Solanum lycopersicum: one gene and its partner. The protein of the gene in region 2 binds, or shares a complex with, the protein of the main gene of each other region. Links are inferred from orthologs where the notes say so. Each region holds a gene or a part of one and is shown on either strand. Other genes may lie near its edges.

The links.
Region 1: chlorophyll(ide) b reductase NOL, chloroplastic (region 2) and red chlorophyll catabolite reductase, chloroplastic share a complex: the UniProt entries of both Arabidopsis thaliana proteins name them as parts of the SGR1-CCE-LHCII complex. The link is inferred for Solanum lycopersicum from reciprocal best matches to the Arabidopsis thaliana genes NOL and ACD2.

What each region holds. Positions count from the first base shown.
Region 1 is NC_090802.1:10,423,485-10,427,770, reverse strand, and holds the start of red chlorophyll catabolite reductase, chloroplastic, read right to left. Parts: upstream 3,049-4,286; 5' UTR 2,982-3,048; coding exon 2,649-2,981; intron 154-2,648; coding exon 1-153. UniProt on the Arabidopsis thaliana protein: Catalyzes the key reaction of chlorophyll catabolism, porphyrin macrocycle cleavage of pheophorbide a (pheide a) to a primary fluorescent catabolite (pFCC).
Region 2 is NC_090804.1:48,915,801-48,920,314, reverse strand, and holds the start of chlorophyll(ide) b reductase NOL, chloroplastic, read right to left. Parts: upstream 3,127-4,514; 5' UTR 3,027-3,126; coding exon 2,768-3,026; intron 1,269-2,767; coding exon 1,200-1,268; intron 1-1,199. UniProt on the Arabidopsis thaliana protein: Required for chlorophyll b degradation. Chlorophyll b, chlorophyllide b, pheophorbide b and pheophytin b can be used as substrates. Belongs to the chlorophyll catabolic enzymes (CCEs).

The DNA of each region.
Region 1 (4,286 bases), on a different chromosome or scaffold from region 2:
GAGGATGAGAGTTGTTGGACTGCTTTGAATAACTTCAATTAAGAAGTTTGGTGCATCAGTTGAAGGTCTCAAATATACGGAAAGGCTTGTAATATTCAATGCTCCGCCGGTGGGTAAGTTGCAGTGAACCCAACTACCAAGTATGAAATCAACCTGTCACAATTTAGAATAGGCAAAAATATTAACCTTGCTTATACTCCTGATGAGAAAGTTGAAATCGTTAACTGTGTGTTCCCAGTTCATCTTTTATTATAGGCATTAGAAAAAGAACACTAAATGGACTTGTCAAAGAACTCTCAATGGAATGACTAACTATAAGCGGAGGAATGGAACTGGATAAGAATAAATGAACAGAAGCCAGATCCAAATTGCTATCTCCCTGATGCTTTTGCAGTCCTTATGTATAACTCCCCAAGAAGACATCAGGTGAATGCAACTTGCAGAGAACTACAAATTATGAACAAGGATAATTCTTGAAATCGAGCAGTTACATTGGTTGGTCAATTTTGGATGCACACTCTCTTAGCTTCTCTCTATGAAGATCTATTGATCTTTTCAGCAAACACCAATTGTGCATCGGAACCCACCTAAAACACTAGTTATACATTCAATCCATACTCATCTCAACCAACTGCAGTCTCTCCTACACCGACAACTCAGTAAAACGCACCCGCTCTCCTACAACCCCCAATGGTTAGTTTGAACCAATCCAGCCGAAAAATCCCAAACACACAATAATCAACTCCTTCTAGCACCAACAACCACAACACCAATAAACATCATCCCCTATTTCTTCCAATCCTTCAGAGGAACAACACATGGACAATAATAAACTCCTAAAGCTTGCCCCTAACAGTTCACCAGAACCTCCAACTTGCTATTAACACTCAGCCTACTCTTTTGCAGATCACGCATGCAACACCTCAACAGGAAAATACTACCCATTCAAAATCCACCCACCAAAATCATTTAACCCCTCAGCCAAAGGTGTCCTCAGATTTCACACACCCTCTTCAAAATTGAAATCGGATGACGCGACCAACATCAATGGAACTGATCATAACCCTGTTGCCACTGATAAATCAGAACCCCAATATTCAACTCCAACAGAAACATCCCAATTTAGCAGGGAAAGGTAAAAGGGTGCTACTTCATCGAAACCAACCTTCACAGAAAGGTTCAAGCTGATTTGCCAATGCCTCAATCGCCGAAGCTCCTGTTGAAATTAGGCATGAGACTCATCTCGGAAAGCCAACCATATATTTCTCTGCTGATGACTATTTCGTGAATTTGGCTAATAATTGCAAATGACTATTGTGGGTAAATTTATCAAAGGAACCTACTATGAAAGAACTAAGGAAAATTTTTGTGAGTCAATTTCAATTGAAAGGAAGAGTCGAGATTGGGTACTACAACTACAACACTATTTACATTGACTTTCTGTAACAAAACAGACTTCAATAACATTTTTTCAAGTCATTCATTCACATTGGGTCGGTCATACACTATGAAATCCTGAGATGTGCACAGAATTTTAAACCAGAGCAAGAAACTTCTATTGTTCCAGATTGGATACTAGTTCACAACTTACCTCAGCACCTATTCAGATGGGAAACTCAGTGCCGCCAGATATTGAAGTTGGGAATGGTAATGGTGAGAAGGTGAGATTGCAGATCATATGAATTTTCCCCCTACAGCTCCTGAAGCTAGGGAATGGGGAACAAGCAGAGATCAAACTACTTTGACAAGATCACAGAAAAACTAGTTGAGATGTATTTCACAGAACAAACTGCAAACTATTAAAATATTAGTGGGAGTTTGCAGCACATTCACGAATTTTGTTTGTTATATATTTTTTAATTGTAACGAATGGATTGTTATTTACTAGAAAGTGCAAGATATATAGCTTGAACAAGAAATACTCAATTTGAAATTAGCTCAAAGGAAACAGATTTGATAAAAATCTTGTCTGACTTCATTGGGTGAATAAAACCAAAAATACATTTGCTGATCTTCTTAACTCCCATCACCACATTATACAGATAAGTATTTGGCATTTCAATTCATGTTACTTCTATTAAAAGAATTAGCATACATAGTAAAAAGGACAATCTACAAAAAGCACAATGCGTAATGGATTAACTCTTCTGCATAAGCCAAATCCACTAAAATAAGATGACAAGATCTAGCTTTCTCAATCATTATTCTATAGTACATAATAATTTTCTTGTTTTCTTTATCAACTTCACTATGTACAAGATAGTAGTGTATTCATTCATATTGAAGGGCATTAGGAGAAAATTCTTGGCGTTTTTTTTTTGGTTGCATACTTTATGCATGCTCAAGCCTTGAAGCAAGGCTTACACATGTTGACCACTTCGCTTAATGTGCACTTCAGTGTCGTCATTAAGTCCCAAGACAAACTTTTCCTTGAAAATAAGGGTTCTAAACTATTGGTATCACACTTTATTATTATGAAAATCAATTTCTTTGTCCATAGATTTGTTATTCACCCTGTATATACTAATTCAACAAAACATCCAACAGGAAGTAATTCTATATCATACTACATATAATTGACACAACTGCAAAAACGAATGAATAGGTAATAAATAGTAGAATCAATTGAGGAGGTAGTCGGAGAGTACCTGAGAAGAGGAATTTCCAGATCTGACATAGAGAGAAGCATGAGCAGTAGCAGATTCATTCTCAAAATACTGCACATGAGAAGGCAGAGTACAAGGAAGTAGAGACTCTCCAAGACGATTCTCCACAGTCGATACAAGTTCCACCATTAACTCTCTATGCGGAACAGATGCATAAGGAAATTCCTTAAATTTCGATTCATGATGTTCCATGGAAGTTGATGACGACGAGCAACAGAAGCGTTTTCCGACGGAAAAAGAACGAGAGGAAGAAGAGGGGAGTGATTGTGTGAGAATTGAAGTGTGAAATTTGGCAGAGGAGAGTGGAACAGCCATAGCAGGAGGACTGTCATGTTCACTGCTATCTCTTTGCTTTTTGGGAAGCAAACGAACATCACGTGCTGTGGCCCATGTAATACGCTGTCGTTTGTATTTTTAAAAATCAGAATTTTGAATTAGGATTTAAAATACAAAAATTTGATTAAACATATCTTAAACATGGTTATTTTAATCAAATTTTTGTATTTTAAATCCTAATTCAAAATTCTGATTTTTAAAAATACAATATATATATATATATATACCAGTCATTTATTTCATATGTAAATAAAATTTATAATTTCTATCATGATTTTTTAAACGGTTTGTATCTCATATAATGATTGTTCTCGCAATATGAATTTATTTTGACTTTAAATTAATGCATTTCTTAATTTATCAATTATATCTATGAAAATTATTATATTTTATCAAATTTATAACTATAGTTTTAAAAAACTTGAATTGGTCCATAATATAAAAAGGAACTTTGCATATATTCACTCAAAAATAGCCTAATTATGCTTCATAGTTATAATTTGTTAATTACAATTCGTAGCTATATGTTATAGAGAAAGAGAGTGACGAGAGAGATTGAGAGAGGGATAAGAGATACGAGCGAGAGAGTGAGAGGTGAATTACACATGTATATCAGGTAGATAATTGTGTATTATACATATGTATTTCTATATATGGCAAGCGAGATTGAGAGAGGAGGGAGAGAGATGAGCGAGATTGAGAGATGGAGGAGAGAGGGTAGAAATGGGATAGAGGTAAATTGTGTATGTATATTGGTTAGATAATTGAATATTATTCATATAGGTTTTGTATATATGACAAGTAAGATTGGGAGAAGGAGGAGAGAAGCGAGCTAGGTTGTGAGAGGGAGGAGAGAGACGAGCAAGATTGGGAGAGAGAGGAGAGAATCAAGCGAGATCGGGAGAGGGAGGAGAGAGGCAAGTGAGAGAGGGCAATAATTTGTATATTCGCATCTCGTTTGTATAATTCGTGGGTACCTTTGTATAATTCCGTGTTTTTGCATGATTGAGCAATATTAAGTTTAAAATTATACAAATATGAAAAAAAACACCTCAAAATAACGAATTGATATAAATATACATTTATTGACTTTAAATAGTTACATTAAATAAATTATATTATAAAAAAAAAGTGCACGTTTATACAAACTTTTGAAAGCTATACACAAAAAGATTGAATATATAAAGTGACAAAACTGAGAAACCAAAGGAAATTATCTCATATGCAAATACAAATCATCGTATAGAAATATAAATCAAACAAAGAATTGTTAGTTGTGAATTA
Region 2 (4,514 bases):
CTGCATCCATTGCTTTCACTACTTCCTTAATTTGCATGTATGGCACTTAATGTCTCTAGAGATCACTAACCCAATGCCTGCAACTTTTTTTTTCTTCCCACAAGCTGTAGCTTCTTAGCTTTCGTTCCAAAAGTGACCACGGTCATCCTTAACAGAAGTGGATACAAACTACTCAAAAGTAAAATTTCTCCAACTACTCTGTTTACCCCTTATGTGAGCGTCTATGTTGCTCGGACTCTTCAAAAATGTCAATGGGTGCGTGTCGGATTCGCCAAAAGTAGTGTATTTTTGGAGAATCCAAGACGGGAGCGGCACCAAAAGTGGAGAGTCCGCGCAACTAAGGCGAGCGTGCAGGTACAAATTCACGAAGGCCAAATACAAATATTGGTTTCCGATCTTCTTCTTCTTCTATTTGATGGGAAGGAAAACTACAACAAGCTAATTAAAATAATAACCATAGAGCAGTGCAAACTTTCAACAACATGATCCCAGCATCCAAGTTATTCTGACTACTGAGCCTATTACAATTTCATTTTCTTTCTTATAGTATTGTGGCAACCAAAAGGAACTAACTATGAAGTAGTTAGTGTTCATCTGTTGCGCATCATATCTCTTGCTTGGTGAATAAGGAGAATAATGAAATATCTTTCATTGCCATAGTACACTCGAGTTTGATAACTGTAGCAATTGGACATCACACACCTACATCATATGATTTCCTTGATTTTTTTTACAATACGGTGGTGTATGAATCGTTTAATGTGCCTTGACTATTCCACTGAATACTTGCTAACTCCAATCAGCATAGGTATTCAGTAATCTGTCCATCAAGCCTTAAGCAGATGGGAAGTAATCACCTTTACCCTCCGTTTCATTTTATGTGTCTTAATTTGACTAAGCACAAAGTTCAGAAAATAAGAGAGACTTTTATATTTTGTGGTCTTAAACTAAACATGTATCCCAACTCCTCCTATATCATCATGACTCTCGAACTATGGTACACCACTAATGGCACATCGATTCCCATGATCCCACCATATATTCTGCATATTTCATTTTTACACAATTGACTACCTTTTTCACAAACTATAAAATAAAACAAATATAAGAGAGGAACTGAACAATGCGAAAACCAATAATTCTATCAGTTAATGACATCATTGAAGTCAATGTTATTGTCACTTATGATATAAAATCACCTGATCTGGAGCAAATGATGACATTATCACCTGCCTTGAGAAATTCTTTAGCTAATGCATAGCCTATTCCTGAAATAATAAAATAACGTCAATTCTAGACATCTGCAGTTAAGTGAAAACAAATAGAGAAACAGCTGTATATTTCAGAGTGACTTGTTTTATATCCATGTGTCCACTTCGGGAAACAAAGTAGGCAGATTGAAATATAATCCATGAGCACATGCTATTAGCTACAAATATAATGGTTTTGCTAGAAGGTAAAGAATTCTTTTAAAGTTGCCAATTAACAGGAGATTGAACATATTATATCCTTATCTAATACAAAGTCATGTCTTCCAGTGATTACACAAAAACATGGCTGAGTTTTAGCATACAAACACTTAGTCACTACAAAAATTATCAAAGAACGATCAAAACGAGAAAAAAATGTGAATAGAGCCGTAATATATTAAAAGAACAATAAAATCGAGTTACAGAAAAGTTAACGTGACCACCTATGAAATAAATAGGCGTTGGTGGTTGTTTCAACCATGAACCAAGAAATTATACATTTTAATGACCAACCGTTGCATTTTTTGAATTATCAGGGAAAGGGAGACATTGAAGGCACTCAAAGGAACTACAAATCGAGATGCATGTTATAGCACTCCAGCTGAAGAAACATGGCCTTCAGTATAAAGCTATAAATTTTACTTAATTCACACCATCAACAGTTAAGCTTCATCATTCCACCATGATAATTAAGGTCTAGCCCAGTGGTTTGGGCTTGGGACTGTTAGAGTTCTCAAGTTTGAAACTCCTTGTCAAGTTGCTAGCAAAAGAAAGGGGTTTGCCTTCTGGGTTGAGCTCGTCGTACCGATCTTACCTAGTGGGGGTTACCAAGCTATTGCATTGGAGTGGGGGTCTTACCCAGTGCGCACTCAAAGGGTAGCGGCTACGGGTTTCGCTTGTCATCAAAATGAAAATAAGGTTTGCACTACTATGCAAACTATATTTCTCTTGCCATTTAGGTGATCCCTCATATTCTTTTGTTTCAGCGGAAGAAACTGCACGACTCTTGGGAACATCTTCAAAAACACAGGTGACAATGAACCAATATGAAGTTGCAAAAGGGAAACCAAGGAGTACATCAAACATTAAGAATGGTCATGTTGTTTCAAACGTTAAAAAATTAACTCCTTCTAACATTAAACTCTTTCATGTTGTTGCATGACTAGACAGAATATATAAGGCATCACCATTGTTGTAGTGAAATGTAGTTCAAACGGAGCCTTCAATAATCAACTTCAACTCAGAACATAAAAATGTTGGCAAGAAGCTCATTGTATCTGATTTTACACCATATTCAATCTTGTTTGACTTTTGGAAATGGTATTTACCCCTTTGGCCATGCATTTTCAAGTTCCTTAGTAGGTTTATAAGTTGGAAAAAGAGAAGTTAGAGATAAAATGATCATGTATGACGGCCCAACAGAACCCTAAACAAAGACTTAAGTACACTAAGACAGGTATGCGCAATCAAGACAAAATTATGATAACCCATTGTGCATTGATAAATATTGAACTAACCTTTGGAAGCACCTGTAATTAAGACATCGTAAGGAGGAAGCATTGGCTCCTTTGTATTTGCGTGTGGAGAAGAAGCAGCCTTCACAACAGCAGCAGAGAAACGAAACGAATTGAATTTAGATATTAAGCAAAACCTGGAAATGGGAGATAAAATAGCTGAAGGGTGAAAAGAAGAGTTGAATTTTCTAGTTGAGAGAGAGCAGAGAAGTGATTTAGGAAAGGATTGAAGTGAAGCGGTGGTAACACTCATTTCAGCCATTGGACTGAAGAACGAGGGAGTAGTGAGAAAGCCGATATGATCTTTCGAATTCACTTTGTTATGGCCACACGTAGTGGCCGCGAATGGAATGTGGATGGTTGAAAATGGATAAATAGAAAATAGGTTCATATTTATACGAGTAAAAATTAATTGGATAAAATATTATTTTTTATTCATATTTTTATTAATGAATAAATAATATTTTATTCAAGAATTCAATATGAAAAAAATATTTTAATTTTTTTTTAGGTGAAAATGTAAAACATGCACGCTTCATTTAGTTTTATACTTTGATCGTATCATAAAAATAAAAATAATCCTATAAATTTTCAATATAAAATAAATTATGTAATAACAAGATGAAAATATTTTAAATTTCAAAAGAATGCAGATTTGTATTTTAGGACTAAAACTTGCTTATGCACTTTAAGCAATATCAATACTAATGATTTGTTTATTTTACACTATTATTGATTATTCAATATAAAATTAAATAAATAAATAAAATATAATTATAATTAACAAAAGAATGTAAATTTAAATTATACATTTTTAGAGGGTCAAAGACTTCACCTTATCAATTAGAGAGAAGAATAGTTAATTTTATAGTATAACATAAAAAGCAAGATAAGCTACACTATTTTTAATGATATTTTGAGTGAATAAAAGTTAGAAGTTTAACTCATTTGAATAATTTATAATTTACTCATATTTACCCATACTTTTATGGATCAAATATGGATATCAACCCATATTTTATCCATGTGAAAAATCACTCATCCAACCCATTAAAATATGAACGGTTTGAGCGGATCACCAAAATATGGGTTTATTTTGCCGGCACTAGCCACACGTATATGAGTTAGTGATGGCAATGGGGTGGTGTGGTGCCTGCCCCACTCCGCCAAGAATAACAACTTTTTCACTCTCAACCCCAACCTTGCCATCACATGAACAACCCATCATCATTTTTTAATGTTTTCTTTTTCTAATTAGTTTGACACTAAGAATAAAATTTATTTTTCATTAAATTGTGTTAATTTAATAGACAATGATATAAAAAAATATTTTTTTTAGAGGTCAATAGGAAAGCATGTAAGAAATTGTATTATTTTTTATTAAATCATTTTTATTTACTATCTTGAATATTTTAGTAGCTTTAAATAAATTATCTGAATAAATAATAATATAACACCTTATAACATGTAAAAAAATTTAATAAGTTTGAATTCGCATAAAATAACATGTACCCTCAGACCCCATTAGTTTTTTTTGAAATACACTTTAACCCACCCCGCGCAATCTTAAACTTGCATTGCACCGCATAGCATTAAATCCACCCCGCGCAGTTTCTGATCTCTCATTGAAATTTCTAATATGAGTAATCATTACTTTTAGGTTATTTAGTCACTGATTTTTGTGTTCGAGAATTGGAGCATTCCTACTATAATTACTTGTTTTTACAAGTATATTTTTAAAATAGTTATT